Linked DNA regions of Mytilus edulis. The protein of the gene in region 1 interacts with the protein of each later gene in a biochemical or structural test. Links are inferred from orthologs where the notes say so. Each region holds a gene or a part of one and is shown in the gene's direction. Other genes may lie near its edges.

Region 1 (13,193 bases):
AGAGAGATTAACAGTCATTATTCAAATGCATTTTTTTAATATTTAAAGCGTGTTTTTGACAGATAGCACATGTTTCCTGAAATTCGAGTAAAAGTTACAAAATGTGTGAAAACCCAAATTTTTCTTTCTGGTGCAAATGCTAATCAATTAAAACTAAGTAAAACCCTGTAATGACTATCAAAGAAGTTTTTGACATCATAAAATTTTCTAAAATTATGCTTACTTCTAATCAAACAGCAAATCATAACTTGACAACTCATACAGTTGCCCAAAATACCGCCATCTGCGAAAAAACAGCTTTTAAGCATTTCTTCCTATTTAAACATTGTATGTGGTCAATAATTTAGAGTAGAAAAAATATGTGCGCTAATCATCTTATTGCTTGAAATAAATGGGGTGAATCTAAGAGATTGCAATCTGCATTGTAACTACCAGACTGAAATAAACATATTTCGACTTTTCTAATTGTTTGATTTGTAGCTTCATTATAAATATTGATGTAGTGAAAAGACCTTTTATTTATTTAATGTGAATAGAAAATTTAGACCAAAATAAATAGAAAATAAATTGATGAAAATTGAAATTTCAAAGAATTTCTAAAACTAGTAAACACATTATAAAACTTGACTACTTGATTGCTTAAATTGCGTTGTTCATTGTTTACATGCATTAATTCGTCAAATAAGAATAATTTTGAAGAAAAAATCTCCATTAATACGCAACGATTCTAGTTACAACTAGACTTCCTGAATAGCTTGAATGACTAGTTCATTTTTCATACGAGGATGACTTCATGCAAGAGTTTCTGATGACGACTGAAAAGACGCTATCATTATCTTGAAACTTCACGTTCCATTATATAGATGATGTCATCTCACTGAATATCGCAAAATTTGTGACAATGTTGGACTCGTATTTTCAATAAAAATAAAAGACTCAAAAGATACAGTTTACTCTATCACGTATCTTGAAATCGATGATGAGGGTTGGTTGAGAGCAAGTTTTACGACAAAAGAGATGAGCATAAAACAACCCATAAAAACACCCCTTACTACCAAATTATAAACTTTTCATTTCTATGCAACTACATTATAGCAACGCCTGCATATCTATACTACTAAAGGAGAGACCGATATGAGCCTCAACTCCTCTGAAATAAAGGCAACTATAGTATACCGCTATTAAATAGTCATCAATCGATTTACTATAGTAACTGAAATAAATCCGGGTCACAAAGCAAAAACTAGGAAAACGCATCAACTATAAGAGGAACACAAAGATATAACAGAAACACAGAACTGCTACAAAAACAAACGCCAACATACAAAGAAACAGATTATTCGATACCAACTGCCATATGCCTGACTTGGTACAGGACATTTGAAGAAAAATGGTGTTTTAAACCAGAGTTCAAATGCAAAGTTGAAATCATCCCTTTGAAAATTTCATGGACGCCACTACGAGTTGGTTGCAATTATGAGATATCTGTTTCGCCAGATGACGACTGATAAGTTCCATCGACGTAACCAAATTGCCGTCATTTCTGCCGTGAATGTCACCAACCGAATAAGGCTTGGCACCGAGTTAGGAAATACATGAGCCACAAGACGGGTAAAAGAGAGTCGTGGTGTAGTGGTTAGTGCATCGGACTACTAACACAAAGGTTACTGGTTCGTTTCCATTCCGTGATGAAAATTTCAGGGACTGAATTTTCGGCTCTTCCTTGACACCATTTGTGAGTATGGTCTTGAGGAAACGATGAAAGTCCGTCGGAAGGGGACGATAAATGACTGACCCGTGTTAAGAGAGAGCCATATCTCTTGTAAACACACCTTTGTAGATTTCGAAAAAGAGCAGGCTAATGCCGCTACAAGGCAGCACTCGCACCCGCAAAGTGGAAAGCGATTAATTTAAGTTGCAAAACTTGTTTCCCAATCCACTATAAATAAATATGTTTAAACTAAGACGGGTGTCACTTGTGGAACATGATCTGCCTACCCTTCGGGAGCCCCTGAGTTAATTTAAAAAAATGTTTTGGGGGTTTGTGTTACTCAATCTGTAGTTTTATATGTTGTGTTTTGTATACTGTTGCTTGTCTTGTTCGTTTTTTGCCTGGCTTTGTCAGTTCGTTTTTAATCATGAGTTTGATGTCCCTTTGATATATTTCGTCACTATTCAAGTAGTAAAAGGTTTTAAAATTGTAGATCAGTGTAGCTAAATGTATCATGATAACGATTTGGTTCTATATATATATCATCGTGAGCAAATTCAGTTATTTTCGCGGATATTTGTCTTATTGCGTTAATCTACTTCACTTTACTTTGAGGTGATTTTTTGGCTGATTTTCATTACTGCAAGTTAATGTGTTTAAAATAAATTAATACCAAAGGGACAATCACCATGAACAAAATAAGATTAAAGTCCAAGAGATGAACAACAGTCCAAAAAACACGGCATACCATGAAAACGAACACTCCTAAAACAGCGAATGATCTTATGAGGTCAGGAAGGGTATTTAACTTTTTCATTTTGTTATTTCACAACTGTTTATAGTGTTTTACATACACAATGACATGCATTTGTATTTTTAAAGCTTATGTAGAAAATACTCAAAGCATATTTTATCATCAAATAATTAAAGCGATTAAACTTCTAAATACATTTAATATGACTTACTATAACACGATTTTAAACTAAATAAGAAGCAGCCGCATTTTTATTATTTAGTTCGTTTACATTCCGCTTTAGACAACCAAGTGTTTCTAAACTAGGTTACTTATTTCAATGTTGCCTACGATTTAGTCGCAAAGTAATGTTTGCATTTAAACAAGATTACAAAAAGTAAAACAGTTTGACTTCGTAAAAAACATATTTTAACCTCAATTATATTTTGCTTTTTGAATAATTTTTAATTTTTTTTAGGATTTGTGATAAATTTCAATTTTTGGGAAATTTTGCGCATCGAATCTCTTATTTTTTGTTTGATTTGGAAATTATGTATCATGTTCCATAAAGTTCATATGATCTTCTGGAAAATTTTATGGTACAAGAATTAGAAAATGGCGTTTTATTTAGTAATCGCAAAAATTGGAATTTTTTTCATGACCTTTGACCTTGATTTAACAAAAATTGCACCGTACGATTTTTTTACGACCGGGTAAAACAGAAAGTACAGATTAACAGCTTTCGAATGATATATAATACAGCCGTGTGTTAGGTGGGTGCATTAAAGTCGTTAACTAAGCGTCTTTTTGAAATAAGTCACTCGCCTATATGTAAGTGTGACATAAAATACAAACTATGAAAAAATATCATATATCCTAGTTTATTTTTTGTGTGGGCTAAATTTATTAACAACTTGTGTTTTTTTTTTCCAAATGAAAGTAATTTACTCTATTTGTTTGTTTGGTCGATGTTAGTTGAAAGCTACTTAGCTATGATTTCATGTGAAAATGACCGAAAAATAGAAAAAAGAAACTCAAGGTGAGTGGACGGAAAATTCTTTTCCTTTTTTTTGTTGCTTTTCACTAATAGAAGTTAGCCCTCCTCTCACATTTCAGTTGACTCCTTCGCCACTCTGTATAATAGGCTGATTTTTTGCGAGCAGAAAACTTAAATAAACGAAATGGGGTATACTTTCTGCTACCTTATAACGTTTATATATGTTTATCCCCTAATTTAATAGTGTTTTTTTTTAACAGTATGTAGTATTTGTATATTGAGATACAGCTACAAGGAGTGTTTTAGATACGCAACAATGAGTGTTTTAGATAAAGCATAATTTATCATTTTGATAAAAATAATGAAATTCTTTCAACTACTTAAATTCTTTGAAATCCTTTTATTTATTTTTTTATGAAAAAATATTTATTAAAATAAAAATTTGTTAAAAAAAACCGCTATACAATTTCAGTTATATATATTTTACTCATTTTAGTTATACAATCTACCGTTAAAATAAAAATAATATAAAAATTACACACCTTCATAAATTAAGATATTTGAATTATTGTGTCAAGAAAACGCAAAAAAGAGAATCGAATGACAACTTCATAAGGAAATTACGGTAATGAAGATCCCACTCTGCCAACCTACAATCATTCATCTTCAATGTCATATATATTTTTGTCAATATCAATGCATATGAGACAATATCTGAAAAAGTCTAATTTCCATGTCCCTCACTTCACCAGCAATTATTTTTTTATTCAACCATCTTTTTCGAAAATTTTAAGTTTTAGTATAAACTAAATTCTATAATGCACCATGGCCTGCCAATTAAACACTCATTCTTATATTTCTTCCAATAAAATATTGTGATTCAAATGTTCAACCCCCCCCTAAAATCATGTTGTCCCCTGTGTTTTTTTGAAAACTAAATCATTCAAATAATATCCAAATTAATTAAAAAGGCGTCCGATTCTCACATATATGATATATTATGTAATCAACTTGCCCCTAATTTGTCTTTTTATATTATAACTATAGCATGTAATAAAATTTTGCCAATTTTAAGAGAAAAAAAAATTGTCCCCAGGGGTGATTTCCCTCCTGTTACCACTGGGTTTTTTTTACCTGTGGAAACGTTTACAAGACCAAGAGTTATTTTCCCATTATGTATTGTGAAGAGCATCATTCCCTGAATGTATTAGTACAAAGAAATAGTTGGAAAGGCGGCCAGGTTTGAAAATTCAAGCCCATCCAAGGTAAGAATTTATAGAAAAATACTTATTGGTGTTCTATCCTGTTATAGCCTTTTTTTACACTTTCTGAGAATATTTTTAAGTGTGCACCACAACATTAAGTGTGTTTTTATATCATCTTTTTAAAAGTTATATGTCACAGGAAATACACTTACATTTAATGTGATAAAAAGGACAAAAACTATCGCGTAATTCCTTTCTGTTACGTTCTGTCATGTTACCTGATCAAAAGTAACAGCATAACCATCATCAGTAACAGGAAGGATGTTCAAGACAATTTCACTGAAGAATCGAACAGTTAATCTACTATATGCCAACCATTTCATTTAATGTAAGTTATCACCACCATATCAAATAAATTTCAAAATAATATACAGTATATTGAATAAAAAAATAGGTTTTTTGCTTTTGATAACAGCAGAGAACATTGTGCAATTCTAGTATAGTAGATAGTAACAGAAAGGAATTTATTTTAGAATTTTTCATTACCTAGGCAGATTTTTCATCTTGCAAATACAGTTTCAAAGGATAAATGACATTGTTTGCTGTTATCTTCCAATTGTGACCAATCTAAAATGATTTATTTTTCTTAAACTTTAAAATAAAGCAGAAAAATCCTTTCTGTTACCAACTCTGTCCTGTTACCGTTGTCCTGTTACTCAAGATTCTTTCATGTTACCGACATATCTGACTATATTTAAGTATATTTCTAAACCTTTTGTATTGCAAATGCTAAAATCAATAATTGGCATTTGATAAACTATTGCAGGATATACTAGTAAACCACAAATAGTGTCTTAAACTTATTCCTTATTCCCATTAGAAACTTTTAAAAATTGATTCACTTTGGTAACAGGAAAGAACTGTATTTTTTTTGTACCATTTTTTAAATTGCCATTGTTTCCTTAATAAACAATTATTTGAATTACAGACAACAGTTCCTAGATCCCCAATGTGTGTTCTTCGATTTGTGCTATTAAAATACCGGGTCTAAAGAATTTTTTTTGGTTTATTCTTATTGCCAAAAACTAGACTTTTTCAGATATTGTCTCATATAGCAATCATGCCACAGTCGAGGAGTTACAGTAGACAATTAATACGTGTAGTAGACATTTTTTTTAACAAGGAAATGCTCCCAAAACAGCCAGATGCATTTACAGATAAAGTTTGCAGAGCAATAAAATTTAAAAATGCTCAGTTAGATACAAACTTGTAGGATTGCGTTTTATAGAGAGAAAAAAACCTTCCGACTAAAATTGATCGTGATTTACATTGGACCCATGCAGGATGCAGGCAGCTGAAATATTAAATATTTTGGAAGTTTTTAATACGATCACAAAGAGGGGTATAAAATTAACTTAAAAATGTTAAATAGTATGCATAATCGCATTATTATCCCATTTGATAAATAATTGCTGAACATATTTGTTTGTGTAAAATTCCCAATCAATGTTTGATTTAATATTGTTGTAATTTACCTTTTTTCGGAATAAAACAAATCACTAAAAAATCGTGTCTGCATTTTAATGAAATTTATAAATATCTCATAGAAGCATCACATTTGACAAAACCATGACTGCCTTTATTTTTTCTGTTCATTATATTGCCCCTATTGACTTGAACAAATACCAAACACATTTTTTCTGCAATTTATAGTCTTTATCTACTTTAATTGCAGGGTTTTCAAATACTTAAAAATTATGAAATTATAAATTTTAGTAAATTCTGTGTAAAAAACTGAAGGAAACCGGTGTTAAATTCCACAATATATCTTTGACGTCATTGGCAATATTTTAGAAATTAGACAAAATGACCACAAGCGGTAGTCTACAATACTACAAAATAGACTTTAGGTGGTGACCTTGATCGTTTTGGATACGAAACTACAGCATTGATCATGGTTGTAGCTCTGAATGACTAATTGACCAATCATCTAACGAGGTTGTTTACGTCTTGTTTTCCGCTATGTACATTGAAATGGAGGTAAAAAATAAGTATTAATTTATCAAATACACATTGGAATTCTTTTTTTGTGATGTAAAAATCGGTCAAGGTGATACTGCAATACATGTGAGATTAATTCGGATGCTCGGTTTTACTGTGGACTGTGAAAATGATGGACATTTCCGGGCTTGTTTTGCATGGTTTTTCAACAAACAATACAGAAGTTCAAGGCCTATTTCATGGATAGTTGTACTGAACAAATTATGAAACATTCAAAACGAGAATTTCATCAAAATGTAAAACCAAATCATCAATATTGTATTGGATTCATGTCTTTATTTTCATCGCAACATGCACATTTACATTTCGATTTCTCATGGCCCAGGTTGCTGCCTTCATCACCATGTGTGAAATCATTCATCCAGATTCATTGATAAAATGACGATCAACAAAAACAACAGTGTGTACTTACTAGATATTTGCATTACCAAATTCTGTGATATTGTATAAACGTTTATTTTTAACATTTGATAGACTAAGATGAGATTTTCAATGGCTTCATCATGTATTATTATTTTCGTTTGTTGTGTATTGATGTCATTTGTGACAGGCAAGCGTTTGAGTGAAGGTTTCAACTCTCCACCAGCAACTGAACGAGAAGGAACTAGTAAGTTTTCTTAAACAGTTTATTTATCACTAAAATCATTTTAAGAATGAACATAATAATGTTTACTAAGACTTAGACCTTCATTTTTGTACTTTAATTAATATTTGTTCTTTGACTTTATTTTTACTCGCTATAGTAAATATGTAGTATAAATATAATCTCTTTTTTGTAAAATTTTTGATAACATATGTTTATCTGCTTTTTTTTCAATTGATTTTACTTGCAAGTCTTTTGATTCAACAAAAGAAATTGCTTGCCCACTCCTACATTTTGTAAGTATGGGTGGGCAGTGGACAAGCTAGAAATTTTGCCCACCTGGTGCCCACTACCACTGTAGACGGGTGGGCAAAGCAAAATAAGCCTGTAGCATGATATAAATATATAAGAAGATGTGGTATGAGTGCCAATGACACAATTCTCCATCCAAGTCACAATGTATAAAATGTTTACAATTACAGTGAATTATCATGATTATAGGTCAAAGTACGGCATTGGACACCGCCTTGGCTCATACCAAACAGAAAGCTAATAAGGCCCCATAATAACAAGTGTAAAACAATATAATCTGCAGGAAAACCATTGGTCTTATGTGTGTGTGATTCTCTATTTATAAAAAAACAAGACACAAGAAACATTTATGAGGGGGATAGGACCTTTATTCAGGATCGGGTGTTTTTAAGCTCGGAATTTTGGAATTGAACCTTTCAGGATTTGGAAATTCTTTTTCAAATTTCGGGATGTCAGGATTTAAATTTATTTAAATTCGGGACTTCAGGATTTCGTGTTTTTAAGCCCAGAATTTCAGGATCAGGACCCCTCCTACCTCCCCCTCATTTATTCACCACTGTCATGACTGTCCAGACCAACAAACAAGAATCACTGAACAACAGGCGCATGACTTAAGACAGGTGCTTACAAATGTCTTTCTTATTCTCTGTGTTGATAATGACAATAGATGGGTCATGTACAAAGGTATATGATCTTATTTAAATATTTCATTAGCTGGAGCTAAAAATTTGAAGTGAGAAAAACAACATTTGGTGAATCTAAATCTTGCAAACCTTAGTTTCTTATACATTGTATGTCCTACCCATTTACATTTAAATGTAAATAGAAAGAAAATGTACATGTATCTTAATTTGAGAATGGGAATGGGGAATATGTCGAAGAGACAACAGTCCGACTATAGAGCAGAAAACACTTACTATTTTAGTGATATGTGTGTGTTTGATGTAAATTTTAAGAGTGTTCCTATGTTACCTTATAATTATCCCTTTCCTCCATAATGATGCCTTTTGACGCCTGTATAGTTCCTCAGTTAAAATGTCTTGCCTACGAAAAAACTTTATCAGACTTGAAAAAAATTGTATCTAATATAAAAAGGATATTCAAGAGAATATCTGACTGGAATTTCGTTGATGAAATATTTGTTTTCACAATGCATTAATACTTGAAACCTAATGACATTTTTTAATTGAAATGCTTATATAAGGATTTTAGATTTGTGCTTTTTCACTTTTTTTGTCAATTCTGTTTACGGTAGCATGTATACTTACATGTATAGTGTGACTGTGCACATTTATGTTATACTATAGTTGTTTGAAGTGATGTTTATCAGACAAAGTGGCACAACTCAGACAAAAATTTCACACTGACACAGTATGGTTGTTTCGATTGTTAGCTAAACAAAAATTGCATTCAATATCAAATAGAGAAAAATTGAAACAGAAATTGAAAAAAGTGAACGTCTTTCTGATATTCAAAATCTCCTTAACATGCTTATTATAAGTGGAGGAAAATGAGACAGTTTGAATAGTCATTTTATGTTTAATGCCAAATGCCATAGCGGATTGGGCATAAAGATTACCCTCGTCCGTCTGTACGTACGGACATACATTTGTACGTAACATATTTGTACATCCGTACATACATGACATACATGTACATGTACATCCCTAAGTTGGTTTCCATTCTCTAACTTTAGTTTGCTTCAACCAAATGTTAATAAACTTATTCAAAAGCTTGTTACCACAAAACACAGATCAAGTTTGAATTTTGGTGGCGTCACATACATGTACTGTACCGTTCTCGAATAAAAAAAATGCTGAATTTTTTGTTTTCGTTCTCTTTCCTTAATTTGCCTTAACCAAATGTTATTAAACTTATACACAATGCTTATTACCACAAAATACAGATTTTTGGTGGTGTCACTTCAAACATTCTAGAGTTATGCTCCTTTACAAAGGGAAAAATAGGAATCTAATATCTGTTCTAAAAGTAACAATGATGTAATTTTCAAAATAATTTTTAAAATGGCAGTTATCTTGTCCATAATTGTAATTGATTGAATCAACTACAACCAATGCTTTATACAATGCAATGTTCATTAAAAAAATGAAAACAGCCTTTACCCTAGGTGCTTACAAGCATTTTGATTAATGTTCTTCAGTTTTGTCCCTTTATAACTTTATATAAGATGCAAGTGAAGTGGGGGTATCATCTGTGTCCCATGGACACAATCCCCATTTATAAATGTTATTTTGCTATCACAATTTTGTACTTGTGAACATTTAGGTGGAATTCCTAGGTTATAGGTATAATCAAAACCATCACTCCATGTACTGTCAAAAGATTTCTCTTGTAAGATACTAATAAGATACAATAAATTAGGTGATTTTTTTTTTCATCAAGAGGGAACTTAACATTTTTTGTACATGTACATACATGTAGCTGTTATTTTTGTGACAGAAGAAAAAAAAAATATTGCACAAAACTGAAATAAGAACATGCAAGACATATAAAGATTATATAAATTGAATTTGACTTAGAGCATACATTTTTAACATGTACCTGTACAAGCATACATGTACATGTTCGAAAATGTACGTACTGTACAATGTACATATAAATAGTCTCCCTTTAAATGAAAGAGGTGTATTAGTTGATTTGAATTTAGACCTACACATTTATGTCTTCATACATTTTTTAAATTAAAAATTGGAAAGCACTGACATTTTAATGATCGATACACTTGAAGATTGAATTAGCAAATTAATTAATGCTGAAATAGAAGATGAGATGCATTTCCTCAGGAATGTAGTCAACTTGAAAGGATCCTAATTATATATATATATATATATATAATTTAAAAAAATAAAATTGATAAACATAATATATAATATTGTATTTTAAATTGATACAAACATAATTTTTTCCTGACATACATGTAACTGGAACCACACATATTTATATTTCGCGTAAAGGAATAAGTAGCATTGCAGTTGAGACAACTGTCAAATAAACATTATACAAACAAAATGAAGTGAATTTAGGTACTTTTACCTTTAAAATTGAAAAATAATTGGAATAGAAAATTTTGCAGTTTTATGCCCCACCTACGATAGTAGAGGGGCATTATGTTTTCTGGTCTGTGGGTCTGTTCTTTGTTCGTTTGTTCATTCATTCATCCTTCCGTTCGTCCCGCTTCAGATTAAAGTTTTTGATCAAGGTAGTTTTTGATGAAGTTGAAGTAACATTAACTTGAAACTTAGTACACATGTTCCCTAATATAATGATCTTTCTAATTTTATTTCCAAATTAAAGTTTTGACTCCAATTTTACGGTCCACTGAACATAGAAAATGATAGTGTGAGTGGGGCATCCGTGTACTATAGACACATTCTTGTTGAGTACTAAATACACATTTTTGTACATTTTGAACATTTGACCTGTTACTAACTTGAAAAGGTGATGATTGTATTTACATTGGAAACTTAAAAGTCAGGATTTATTCATATGTATATCTTTGCCAATTGCTTGTTAAACACCACTTTCAACACTATTGTGCTATTTCATGGCAGAAATTGTTTTTTATGGTTGAGGAAATCAGAGTGCCCCAAGAGAACATTTGAATTTTTAACATGGCCAGAATAATAAATTATCCCTCTTTAATAAGAATTGTACCCAATGTACTGCTGTTCAAAGACTATTTTTGTTGATGAGCTTGGGACTTTTGTCACAAAAGTGATCCTACATTCTGTCGTCGAGACAATGGGTTCCACTGAAACTTCCAAATTTTTCTTTTAATGTATTATTTACCAATAAATCCTAATAGTGTAACCTTTATAATACAAGTACATGTAAGCTAATCAGAGGATGGACACTTTTTCATAGTTATCTTTTTTATGAAATGCTTTTCATAGTGTGAGATAAGAAAAGATCTGTTAATGTGCTTCGTTTGATGCTTCTTTTTCTTCCTACATGTATACATTTGTACATACATGTAGTATTCATATAAAGCTTCCTTTTTAAGAAGATATGTATGATTGCCCTGAACTTAGGCCAAGGAAAAGTCTCCACCCTTGTCGTTTTCATTTCTGATGCAGATGCAATTATAATGTATATTTATTATTCTTATCGATTTACCACAATTATTTCTTCAATGAGTACATCAATATCTTAGGTCATATGCTGCAAAAGATGTGAGAAGCCTACTACATGTATGGTAACCAGTTCATGGTAACCAGTTCTTCATTAGGGGTGTTTAACGACCTTGACTACCCTTGAGGGTCTTCCATGGTCTGATATTCTACATTACCATGAGTACTGGTACACTTAAAAATATGTTATTTTTATCAAAATGAATTACAAAATGTTGATCAAAACAATACATTAATTTAATATTTATTTTCTAGCAAAAATATATTTGTTTTAATTTTATTCAAAACCTTAAAATCAATTTATAGATATATAATCATCACAAGTTAAGATATAAAAGAAATGGGTGAAATATTTTTATTGTTAAAAAACACAAGTCATTGAAAGAATGTGCAAAGCTAATACAAGAAACTCTATAACAATCTTTTGATGTCAGTGTTATTAAATTTTATTTAGAGTATCATTTTCTGATATTTATTTTTCATTTTAGCACCTTTTCTTAAAGATTTGACAGAATATTTATTTAGACCATTTGACAAAAATACAAAATTTCAAAAAATTTGAACTTTGCCTGAAAAATTTCATTATATATATATATATACAAAGTAATTTGGAAAACATTAATTTTGATCATTGAGAGACTTATCAATAGGTTTTGTTTTAACATTCAGCTGATTTTACAGAGTTATCTCCCTGTAGTGTTATGTACTTCGCGTGGAAATTTGAACAGGCCACACAAAGTAGCGTAAAAAAATAACCAATATTGGTCTGTTTAACTTAAGGATAACATGTTCTGGTAAATGTTTAGTATTGCCATTATTTCCATTATTTCAACAGTTGTATTTAAATATATTATAAATTACAAAACAGCAACATATTTCTCAGTTTGAATTAGATATATATATTACAGTGAGTTGACTGTTAGTGTTGCTCTCCACCAATTGCAACTCATTCAAAATTTTAACCAAATTGCAATTTGTTTTACAAAATCAAATTGTTCAACTGGTCAGAATTTTGAACCAACTGCTGTAGAAAACCACAGCCAAGTCATGAAAGTGCAAGGTGATAAAATAAAACATACTTACAATCTATAAGACTTTAACTCCACTTTAATGATGTGACAAAATTAGTTTATCAGTTTGTATAGTTATATTATATTCATTTCCATGCTGAAGTTTGAATTGCTATTAAATTGTCCAAACTAAGCTTTCATATAGTTTTTCTTTCTAAAAGTATTCTATATTTATACGAATCAGATATCATTTTAAATAAAACATCATATGGAGGTAAAGTCTTATAGGATTGTAAGTATATTTTATTTTATCACCTTTCACTTTCACATTTTGACTGAACAATTTGTTCAATATTCTGACCAGTTGAACAATTTGGTTTAATAAAACAAATTGCAATTTGGTCAAAATTTTGAATGAGTTGCAATTGGT
Region 2 (13,172 bases), on another chromosome or scaffold:
TTGATTTGAAGCTTTTCTGCATCAAATGATAAGAAACCAGTTGCACCAAGACCTAGATCCTTGTTAGAATTGTCATTTTTGCCTAATGCCCATAATGTAATATTTTTTACGTAACATTTTGGAGTTGCCTCAAACTCGTCATCCCATTTTATACCTAATCCAGAATTATTGAGATATTCCGAATGTGCAGATATCTGCATCCCAATTAAATAGTTTGTTTGTAAACACATAAAAACATTGTACTTATCAATACATTGGAATGGTTGTATATTCGTTAACAAGTTCACTATTTCTGTCTTATCTTTGTGTACGTTTGGAGGAGGCAGTTGTGAAAACATAACATATTCAGTCAGAGCTTTGGTGCAAAAGAACACTTCATTACTTGGTTGGTTCTCTAATTGAAATTCAAGACTATCTAATTCAGTTCCATAATTGTCAGATAAATTAATTAAAATCCTCAAAGTGTGGTATCCAGGAGACAGCAATATAGGATATGTCAAAGGCCCTGTTTCGGAGAAAACATTCCACATATGTCCCCAGTTAGTTCGGTAAATAGTTTCAAACTCTGCGACTGTTTGATTGTTCATAAATAAGAGAACATGGTCTGACAAGCCGTCATTTGAATATCTAATATTAGTCACAGTTATTTTAGTAAGAGCAGAAAGACAAAACTTGATATCAATATACTCCTCTTCGTATAGAAGCAGCGTTCTTTTCATCGAACCTCCACCTCTCCACATAACCCGGTCCTGGTGTCGAGACAAATCTGCAGAATCCTCAAATTCGATTGTAACCCTATTGCCCTTGTGTCGAGCACCATAAACAGTGCAAAGGATAGACAAAATTACTAGTAATATAGGTAACATGTTTCTCAAGTTGTTGTCTGATTAACTGTGAAATATGAAATGATATTGTTACCTTTTTATCAATAGACACGCCCTCCAATCAAAATAGTTATGAGTGTTGAATGATAACGAGAAATAATATTAATGCAAAAATTACGAATAATATTCTAATAAAACACCACAAACTTTCTTGATTGACTGATTAATAAAAAAAAATTATGTCATAATCCCAATGAACTATTTCAGTATATAAATCTAATTATTAGTATGACTATGTACTTAAGTTGTAAAACCCTATTTTGTCAATTTTCTTGAAATTCAAATCAATGCTGTCACCATGTTTTCTGAACTTAAATATTTATTTTTCCTTTTTAAATATAGGTGGAATAGGACAACCTTGTCGAACAAAACATTAAATGAATAAAAAAATGTATAAAACCATGTGCTTAAATTGATATGTTATTAATGGGTTGTATACTAATGCAGTAATATATATGCAGTTAATTTATTGGTAAATAAAAAGCAGTAATTTTTTTAAACAAATGATACTTATTGTTGAATTTGCAGAGTAGGATCTGATTTCATGTGTCCATACGGCTCTAATTCTTCCTACTATACAAATATTTAGCTAAACGGTTAAAAAGTATACACTAGATTTTAATGTATACGGTTGTATGGAGAATGTGGCATATCATTTGGAAATCGAAATTAAACTCCGTATAGAAAAATTACTGCACCAAATGATTGTGGTTTGTCATTTACATGGGAAACTCGGTAATTCATAAATGACATATGGTCAGTCACAATTGAATTGACCAGTTAATACAGGTTTGATGTAGAAAATAAAAAGGGAAAGATACCAATAAGACATTTAAAACAAAGAAGCCGAAGAGATCTGATAACATGACACACATTCAAATGACGGCGAAAAGACTCAACAAGATCATAAAAAAGACCAAACAAGATCATAAAAAAGACTCAACAAGATCATAAAAAAGCATTGGAAGCTTAAAGACTGAGCAACATGAATCCTACAAAAACTAGGAGCTTATATAGTGGTACCGTCATGTTGCTCAAGGTAAGAACAAATTAAGTGATGTCACAACGAAGAATAGAGGTTGCGTCAATAAGAATTAAAAGAGTATCATCCAAAAGAACTCTAAACTATCGCATGTCTTATAAAAACATTGACTGGTAGATAGCAAAATATTGCAAGAACTAATAGAACTTTGAAGTTTGTAGCTCGGAAGATTTTGGAGACGAATGTCATCATATTTTTACATGTTCTGTATCTAATGATGATTGATTGATTGTTGGTGTTTAATGCCACCATTGGTACTATTGGCTATGTCGTAGGTTTTTTTCTTAGCATCTAGAAAGCCGGAGTGCCTGGAGAGAATCCCTGACATGCGGCAGGACAACCTACAACCCTGGTCAATTTAGAAACGAATGTACTTGCCAAGTTCGTCAAGGTTCATACTTATATAACCTCAGTGTTGACAAGACACATTAGATGAACTATCTAATGAGGACAATAAATAGCTATAGAAAAGTAAATATAGAAACTAATCATATTCCTAAAGGTTTATTGAATTGAATGATGAATAGCAAAAATGTATTTGATCTCAACAACATGAAAATTTAGAAGAATTATTAATCAGCACTTAGGCCCTTTGCCGTTATAAAAGAGAGGCGAAAGATACCAGACATTCAAACTCATAAGTCGAAAATAAATTGACAATACCTTGGCTAAAAAAAGGGAACAGACACACATAGAAAACTAAAATCTTAAATGGTAATCTATATTGCTTATTTTACTTTTGCATGTCTGTAATATATGCAATATGTGATATATATTTAGTGTATCTCTTTATCACTGTAATTTGGTTTGGTTGGGGTTTTTTTTTAGAGAAAAAAAGATTTATAAAGATACACAAAAGATGTACTTATTATATATTAACCATAGAAGTATTAACTGAGATTGATAATTTAAAAAAAATGCTTGGAGTTGCATGGATGATGGATGTCAATATATTTTTCATTTTTAAAAGATGTCACAATCTGACAAACGTGGGTTTTATGGTATGTAATAACATTTTATTATTTGGTTTAAAAAAAAACGCGACCTTTTCACTGTGTTTAATCGTTGGTTTATATGTTATTTGTATTTTTTTAATTATGATTCAATACAATATCTATTTTTGTCTTCTTCAAGTTTGAGTAATAATGAAGTATTGTGTTTTTCACTTGACAAGTTATTTATGTTTGCTACACCCAAGTTACAAATAACGAGACATATGGACCGTTATTAATATGTATCTTGACTAACATAAATCAACAAACAATTATTCAAATTGCGTTGGGGTCTAATGTTTGCTTTCAAATGCAACCACTGCTTTAACTTGAGATACAAAACAAACAAGATTAATATAAACAAATAAATGCGTAATGGATATATAACTTCATTTATCATAAACATATATTGTTTACTCTTAAGAAGTTATAATAAATGAGCATATACATATGCTTGTGACAAATGCAAAGCAACAACAAAACTAAATTGAGATCAATGCATAACTATATACAAGAAAAAAAAATCTTCAAGAGTACACTCGAGTACTCATATTAGTAACACGACAGGTGCTACATGTGGATCAAGATATGCTTATCTTTACGTAGTAATTGCAATCACTGCCGTTTTTTATGGGGTTCGTATTGCTAGGTCTCAAGTTTTCTGTATTGTGTTGTGTTGTGTATACTTTTGTTTGTCTTTTTGTCTTTTTTTGTTGTTGTTTTTTGCCATGGCGTTGTCGTTCTATTTTCGACTCATGAAAATAAATGGCTTTTGGTATCTTTCGCATCATCCCACTAAACTCAGCCTTATAAAGAATTTTCTAAAAGGGAACTTAGCAGGACCTCTAGTTTTCAGAATCGAAAAGATTGTGAAAAAGAGGGATGAAAGATACCAGACGGACAGTCAAACTCATAAATCGAAAATAAACTGACAACGCCATGGCTAAAAATGAAAAAGACAAACAGACAAACAATTGTACACATGACACAACATAGAAATATAGGAATATCTATAATTATCTCAATCACAAGGTTTGTAACGAAATTTTGTTACTTTGACAGTAAGGAAGAAATCATTTTTCATCCTCTTATGTTTTACATGATAGTCACGTTCCTATATTTCGAGGTAAATTGATATATTTGGAATCTTCAAATTGGCGTCCAATTTTACGTGAAAGAATAAGATTTCAAATCGATAGCTGATTATTTGGCCCTATAATCATAGTTTTTCCAGTCTCAAGTAGCTGTCCAGGTCTTAGTTTAAAAAATTATTTGAACCAAATAAAATTTGAAAAATGATTAAAAAAAATAAGAATAAAATGGATTAATTTTCATAAATTTATCAACAAAGTATACAGATTGTTATTTCAATTTCAATTAATATTTTTTATCTGATCCCTTTTCATGCGGACCACAACTCTAAATGTTGTAGATAGATTGTCTGGGAATTTCATATTTTGTGTCTGGGAATTTCTAATATTTTCTTAGAATTTCAGCTATTTTTGTCTAACACAACTATTTTCTTGTACCATGCAAAGAATATCGCCAATAGTCACATCTCAATGTTTTCGTTATTTGAGCGAGTTGACTCAATATTGTTGAAAGCATGTTTAGGTCATTTTTTTTTGTTTGTTAAACAAACTGGTAAAATTATGTCTGTTATTGAAAGTTTAAATCGAAGGAGAAAGTGAACCAATTTAAATGTATTTGTATCCGAAATAATGCATAACTTAACATTCGGTAGACATTTGGTCCTTCTTTTTTTAAGTTTGTAGAAATAAAAATAGTTTTCAAAGTTGCAGTGCCGAGTTATCTGTAGTTAAACGTTTATTGGGTGGTTGAATGTTCAGAAATACGAAATAGTGTTCTACCATTCTTAAAAATATAAAAATCATTATAGGGAAAACAAATAATGATTAGTATACTGGGATTAAAAGATATTGGACATCGATTAGAGGAGATTCTGATCGATAGGACATCGATTTGGCAATACATGATACATGAAGTGACATTGGACGTCGATTAGAGGGTTTGAGAAATGTGACGTCAGATTGGATGCTGATGAAAGTAGTGGTAATCGGTGTACTTAGTTAACATCTGTTATTACGATGTACATTATAATGATATGTCGATAGTCAATAAGTGTCTGCATTTTTTGCATAAAGATTGATCACATTTAATAATTAAAAGGAAAATGACAATCAAATACATATTGATGAATAATATTACATCATACGGATCAAATTTTTAAAACTTTTTTTTATGCCAAAAATGATATTTATACTTCACATATATCAGATTTAATGTTGCTCATGCAGTGCATATGTAATTTTACAAAGATCCTTTTCTGAAAATTTATCAACGAATTTTACAAATTCCCGATAAACAACTTTAACTTTAAAATCTAACTTTTTAGGAGAATGGTCATGGATAGAAATGTTTACATATGATTTTATAAGTTAAAACTATTTTGTTCGTTTGTTGATACGTTTTTTTTTCATCGGTAAAATGAAAAGCCTAGACTATACACTATATGTTTAGTCATTTTCCCAGTCTTCACAATAAATTCAGACTATATACTTGTTTCGTAGTGGACATATTCACATGTTTATTTTTTTCCCACAATCCCTATATTGCAATAGTAACAAAAATGATTTTTTTTTATCAAAGATTATCAAAGCACATCGGCTAAGCTGTACACTGATATTTTTCATAATTCTAAAACCAGATACTGAAGGAGATTTGACCCGTTTCGTGGTGGACATAAGAAAAAATACAGCATCACAGTATAGTATAATAGTCCCAGTTTCAGTGTTTTAATTGTCAAACAGATCATCTCAAATTTACGATTTTTCATTCATATGGTTAGAGAGTGGATCATACTCTTATGCCAGTGTTAATATTGAATTTCTGTGTTCTTGAATATAAAATGTTATTCCAAGTTTAACCAAGATTAGTCTTACGTTTCATGGCCGTTATTGAAATACTTGACAATACTATTTGTATATATACAAGTCTAAATTGAAAACTACGTTCAAACCTATGATTTCGTTGGATACAAACCGCAATTTTTATACGTGTGCATGTAAAACAAATTTCGTTGTAGAAGGGTCTAAATGCAGCACAAACAACATTTTCCAAAAGACCAAAAAAGTGAAAAAGTATATTTAAACAAATCGCACTTGACTAACAGGTCGAACAACTGATGTTCTATAACCCTGCATGTTCTATATATATATATATATATATATATATGTTATAGAACATATATATTCCGAAGGCATGCTGGATATTTTACGGAGGCCGACGGACCAACCTATGTATACCTAGCCTATATTCATCGTGATGCATGAAATATTTGCCACTGGACGTTAAGCAACAAACAATCAATGTATCAACCTTAATATTCTAAATTGGTTTATATTAAAAGTGCTTTATAATTCTTTCTTCTTTTTTTTTTTTTTATAAGAAACACTTTTGATCATACTTCACATGCAAGATCATCATGAAAATGCACAGCATGAGTACAAAATGGCAAACTAGGTCTCTCACATATAGATGCCAAATATGTAATGCATGTTGTTATTATTGTTCTTGTGTTATGTATATGTTTTTATATTTGGTGTAGAGCTCTCTAGAGCTTGAAGTTGTGTTGTATGGTTTAAATGCCGAATAGAATGTCTGAAAAATTTCGGAAATTTACATGGTTTATCCGTCGTTGTAATTAATATTTTGTTAGTCATAGAAACGTTTGAAAACAGGACAATTTTCGTTGTAATTACAAGTAGATGTCTGACCTTGAATTTAAGGAAAAAATCTTGATTTCATGCTAAATTCCCCTTACTTCTTTACTTTCTCTGAGCGTTAAGTATGAGTGCTGCTGCAGATCTTAAAAATCAAGGAAACAAATATTTTGCAAACAGAAGTTTTGATTCGGCGATTAATTGTTATTCAAAAGCTATTGTAAGTGAATGAAATAATGACTGAATAATGATCTTATGTACATGTAGACTGCAACATGGTACACCAGTTATGTTGAAAAATTATATATACTGGTAAACAATATAGAATATTTTTGGATGTGTTCTTTTCCTATAAAACAAAAATTCTGAAAGTGTTTCAGCAACAATTTGTAAATACTTGGTATCACTATCATGTCATTCTGCTACAATCTTGTCCCCAACAGGTCAGGAATAACCACCCATAGGTGGATTATACCCCTCTTGACATATAATCCACCAATTGACATATATGGGTATAGACCAATTGACGTAATATGAGGCAGGCATTACCTGTAAATGGGGACGAAGTCTGTATGAATTATTTTTTTGTAACTAAATATTTGTTAAAAAAAAAGAAACGGCAATACAGTAACGTTTCCGATTTTGGTTCTGTTGTTAGGGATTTTAGTTGTGACGTTATTTAAGTTATGACGTCATATGCAATGTAAACAAAGAAATGCTATCATCAGGTAGCTGCGGAACCGTAGCTCTTAGGTCCTTATGTTATTTTTTGACTATTTGCGGATCTGCGGAACCGTAGCTCTTAGGTCCTTATGTTATTTTTTGACTATTTGCGTTTTTTTTTCATATCAAGGAATTATCAAAAATGAAATTGGAATTGTGTTCCTTCCTATTTTATACTATACTGATAAATATATATTTTACTCAAAGTTTCATACAAACGAGACCGGAAAAAGGAAGTACATTGTAGATTTCTGCGCAAATCCAGAAATTCAAAAACCTGACAAAAAAAAAATTGAACGATTTTGAGTTCATTAGTACAATGAAAATATCGGGAAAATTTTCCCGATTTTTTTTTTTTTTTTTTTTTTTGAATTTTCTACTGTTATTGGGGACTTCGTCCCCATATAATGCAGGTTTTTTGTAATAAAATGCTAGTGTGAGTTAGGAGCATGATTTTGCAACTTGCAACCTATTTTATGACCCTTATTAATATTGAGTCCTCCAAAGATTCAGTTTTGTCAAAGCCTGCTGCATCTCTTGAGAATGCATGTGTACAACAATCCTTTTGTTGAAACATTCGTACTATTGACTTTTGATAATGAAAGTCAAGTATTAACAAAGAGCTCCATTCACCTGTGGAGTTGTACTCATGATCACTTGACTGCACACAGTATTGATGTCCATTGACAGGTGATTAGTGGTTAATTTGCCAATCAAGAATTGACAAGATAACAATAGAAGAAACTGCAAATACAATTATTGATTAAATGCAATATGTTATGTGACTATACTAAACTAGGAATGTGTGACAAGTTTTCATACCATAATATGGTTTTAAGAAAACAATGCTCCATTTTGGTGGTATAATTTGCTTTGAAAAACAAAGATTTAGTTCACCAATTGGTCTATATCATTATATGTCAATTCGTCAATTGAGGTATAATCCACCAATTGGTGGTTATTCCTGACCTGCCCAAGTTAATCAACCCTGATGGTAAAAAAATAATAACTATCAAGATAGGTTTTTACATTTATGATTCATGGAAAGTGGAACTGCACATGAAAAATGTGTGTATTTTTTTAAAATCATATATATTTAATAAATGATGAGAGGAATATGTTTTAGGAAAAAATCAACATTGATAATGAATGACATCCATCAAACAACATTTCTTGATTTGAGTAGTATTATATTAAACTTTAGACAAAAACAAAAATTTGTGTGCATCCCCTTGGGAATCTTCTTGTGCAGTTGTGTATGGAACTACATGTATTATAATTACACAGTTGAAAGACTTATTAAGATCAGTCATTTGAAAACTTGCTATTTTTTTAACCGATATACATGGTACAATTTATTTTTTAATATGAAAAAAGTTATACATGCACAAAAGTGAATATTCATTTTACATGTTATAACTTCTAATAAAATCATTATTAACACAAATGCTTTTTACTCCATAATCATCTTCACTCATTTAACATGTTTAAGGTGATAAATATTTAAAAAAATATTTGACTAAATGTCTTGTTATTACAATGTATTCAAGAAATTAGGAAACAACTTGGGCCATATCGACTTCCGGCTGGATCACATGAAAGGCTTCAAAGCTCTGAAAAGGTCTATTGATTAACCCTATAATAGGTATACACAAATGTCACAGACAGGTCACATACTCTTTAAATAAATGAGACTGAATAAAGTTGTGTGGGTTATTCCTTTTGAGCAAAAGCATCTATAAGTAATTACATGGAAGTCTGAAGAAAACTTTTGTATAAAGATAATAATTATTCAGGCCAGTTATTGGAAAATAAATATTGAGTAATAAATCACAAAGGAAGACAGAATGACATTACAGCTATACACCAATTGTGATCATAAATGTTTCATCCTAAAAAAAAAAATTAATTGCTTTGTGACTTTGTAAGAAAATTAACCTTAGTGACAGTCATATCTTTTTTTCAGTTGAAAAGTCCTAATACATCAACTTACTTCACAAATAGAGCATTATGTTATTTAAAAATGAAAAAGTGGGATTTAGCTCAACAAGATTGCCGTCGTGCCTTAGATTTAGACAGATCTTTAGTGAAGGGACATTTTTTCATGGGACAAGCCTTGGTTGAGCTTGGTTTGTACGATGAAGCTATTGCAAGTTTGATGAGAGGTAAATATTAAATAAGTTTACAAATGTATATGAATCAATACAAATTGAAAACTTTTTCAGTCAATTCAGAAATTACGTACATTTGTATATTATTTAAAACAGTACTGTTAAAAATATGACAACTCAAGAATTACATTTATTATGATTTCAATTTTAAAATACACCAAAAAAAAAGAAAATGAGGATAAACTCATTATAATACAGTACCTGAAAGGCCACATTATAGTATACAAGAATGGAACATTTGATTTAAATTGATGAGTCTGAAAAAAAAATCACAAAATTACTGTGTAAGCCATCTTATGGTTATTACAATGAAACATTTATTCTGGTAGATTCTAACTAGTGTGTACTTCAAAGCTACATGTATAATACAATTAGTTGAATTTTACTGCATATCTTTTTGCTATCAATTTAATGAACAATATTGCTGCAAGAAATACATTTTGTAAGGAAAGTTGTCTTGTGTTTGCAATACTTGTTCCTTGAATGTTGTTTCTCCAAATAGGACACTTTCTCCTTGTTTCAGGATTTTTTTCAGATACGGTCATTCTTCATGTATTTGACCCCTACCCATCCTTTTATCTTTCTCAGATTTACCTCTTTAGTCTTATCCATTTATCATATTAATGAGACCAGGGTTCTTTATGTTTCACATAACTTTCTAAGAGTTTAAATTGTGTCAAATGATTTATATAAAGAAAGCAATTATTTAGATTTTATTTGACCCTTTTATTATGTTGCAGCAAATGATTTAGCCAAAGAACAAAAGTTAAATTTTGGAGATGATATAGCAGGTGCTCTTAGAATGGCTAAGAAAAGAAGATGGAATGCAATAGAAGAAAAACGAATCAAAGAGGAAATAGAATTACAGTCTTATATAAATAATCTCATAATTGAAGATAAAAAGAGGCAAGTCTTCATTTTAAGAGATCAGAAGTATTTATATAAGCAGATGTTACATTATTTGTCATATGATTACCAGTAGATGGAGAGTTGTCTCATTGGCCCTCCTACCAAATCTTCTTATATCTATCTATAGTTTTGAAACTTGAGGAATCCTCTAAATTAAGCTTTTTTAAAAGTATCAAGTACCTGTTATGATTGATATAAAAAATAAAAAGATATGATATGATTGTCAATGAGTCAATTAAATATTATTATCCACCAGAGTCCATATGAAATGGATGTAAGCAACTGTAGGTCACTTTACAGCCTTCATCAGTAAGATGAATTTCCTGACAAAATGTATATTAATGAAAAGCAAACATGATCCTGATTTGGGACAAGCAATACAGAATGTGGGAGGGTTAAACATGTTTTTTTTTTAGTATTAAACCTTCAAACTGACATCAAACAGTGGTGTAACAACAAAACACACCATCAGCACAAACTGTAACACCTAGTTGGAAACAGCTTGAAATATCAGATATCACAAAAAAAGTTAAGAAAAATAGATGAAAGACACAAATTACTGATGTTAGAGTACTTACAGTTACTGTAAACTAAATTGTATGTATGTCAATCAGTTTTTTTTTATGAAAGATATTTACGAAAATTATGATATTTCATATTAAAAGAGAAATATTACGTTATAATAAAAGACCTTTGTTGAAGTTGTTCGTTTGTCAAAAAGAAGCAAAAATTTTGTTTATATGAAATTTTTTATAGACTCTGCACCTTACATATCAGTGCATTGTATCTTTTAAACAGTGCAGTGTATTTGTACCTTATGATAAATAAATAAAGTTTAATGTACATGGCAATAATTGGTTTACAGGAAACTGGAGAAACTTTCTGAAGAAACCTCCGATCAAGAAAGTTTTACAGAAGTACAGAATGCATTAGAAGAAGATAATGTAAGAAATACAGATAAGTATTACTGGTAGAGGGATTAATATTTTTGTAAAAGTCTTATAATTGGCACTTTTTTGATACAATCATTAATTTAGACTTTTAGTAAAAGATAAAAAAGATTGTGTATTAATCTTTTCAACAAAAGTTAAGGAAATTTGAAATGATTATGTTGTATATAAAGTGCTTTAAATGTTCATTATATGTGCTTCAGGTAGAATAGAAATGAGAAATTTTTAACTTCTTCCATAGTATTTTTCTTGACTTATTTATTATCATATTTCAACAAAATAATGATTTTATTATTTTTTACTACTGGTACATTCAACCCTTCTTGTAGACTGGTTTATTATTTTTTTTATTTTTAATACATGTATTGAGTAACGTTTGATACAATGATTTACTTCTTACAGGACACAAGAATAAAGGATGTAAATGAGTTATTTTCCCAGTTAGATCACAGAAGAAAGGTATATCATTATTGTTTTGAATTTAAAATGAAAACATACATGAACATATATATGTTTTTCTACTAAATTGTTATTAGAGAACACTTTAGCTGTCGGACAACATATTACTTTTTGTAAATAATTGCATCATTTGCAATAAAAATAAAGTGAACTTGAGATATCAATATATGATATTTGTAGAAAGTATAGAAAGTTATCTTAAGCTGTGTCAAACAAGCAAACAATGTTATTGAATATGCTGACATACACTTTTACAATATTTTCAATTGATGGACATCACTTTACAGTTCTTCAAAAAAGATTGTTCGTGTAATGTCAAAGTTATTTGTTTGTTAGTATCCATTTCAACTTTTAAAACCAGTTTAACTAAACATACTAGCATTTGAAGAAATGAGACCATAGACATAAATGGGTATAAAGATTCAGTCTTCATGTGATATCTATTTTTAGTATTTCTACTGTTTTCAGACAAGAGATGTTCCTGATTATTTATGTGGGAAGATAAGTTTTGAATTGATGAGAGAACCAGTCATTACACCCTCAGGAATTACATATGATAAAAAGGACATTGTGGAACATCTACAGGTATATTATATTTTGTCATGACATGAGAAAATGACTTGGTATTGTAGACTATGTTACTCACATGCTATAGAAGAAATAGACTTATGTACTACATTTGTTACTACATTGAAACATTCTGATCTATTGCAGTATGATCTTATCTATTTGTTCAAAACTATATATAGATACAAGAAGATGTGGTATGAGTGCCAATGAGACAACTCTCCAGAGAGCATCCAATATGATATTCAGAACATCATTGATCTACAACAATGTATATGATTGAAGTACATTGAATCTAGGTAACAGTTTTCATGTGGAGGTCACAATAACATGTACTTCATGGTTCAATGATTCTGATAAGTAAAATTTTACTACCATACTTTTTTGATTGAAAGATGAGCAGTAAAGCTTTAACAAGCTAATTATAGAACTAGGCAATCTTTATTATAATAGGTTATATTTGTGTGGGTCGACTGCATTTCTGTTATGTAAATGAAATGAAAAGAAGTCAAAAAATTGGTATTCTTTTTATGTTATTTTTAGCCCCATCACTTGGCGTCCGGCGTCCGTCGTCCGTCGTCGTCCGGCGTTAACTTTTACAAAAATCTTCTCCTCTGAAACTACCGGGCCAAATTTAACCAAACTTGGCCAAAATCATCATTGGGGTATCTAGTTTAAAAAATGTGTCCGGTGACCCGGTCAACCAACCAAGATGGCCGCCATGGCTAAAAA

Evidence for each region.
Region 2: of the proteins of insulin-like peptide receptor (region 1) and E3 ubiquitin-protein ligase CHIP-like, one has a biochemical effect on the other in vitro, tested with the Caenorhabditis elegans proteins (2 studies listed by BioGRID, with this or other methods). The link is inferred for Mytilus edulis from reciprocal best matches to the Caenorhabditis elegans genes daf-2 and chn-1.

The regions. Positions count from the first base shown.
Region 1 is NC_092347.1:4,562,422-4,575,614, forward strand, and holds the start of insulin-like peptide receptor, read left to right. Parts: upstream 1-6,500; 5' UTR 6,501-7,187; coding exon 7,188-7,314; intron 7,315-13,193. UniProt on the Caenorhabditis elegans protein: Insulin receptor-like tyrosine kinase which regulates metabolism, controls longevity and prevents developmental arrest at the dauer stage.
Region 2 is NC_092352.1:15,884,724-15,897,895, reverse strand, and holds the start of E3 ubiquitin-protein ligase CHIP-like, read left to right. Parts: upstream 1-6,695; 5' UTR 6,696-6,788; coding exon 6,789-6,881; intron 6,882-9,350; coding exon 9,351-9,549; intron 9,550-10,295; coding exon 10,296-10,461; intron 10,462-11,329; coding exon 11,330-11,408; intron 11,409-11,816; coding exon 11,817-11,873; intron 11,874-12,341; coding exon 12,342-12,458; intron 12,459-13,172.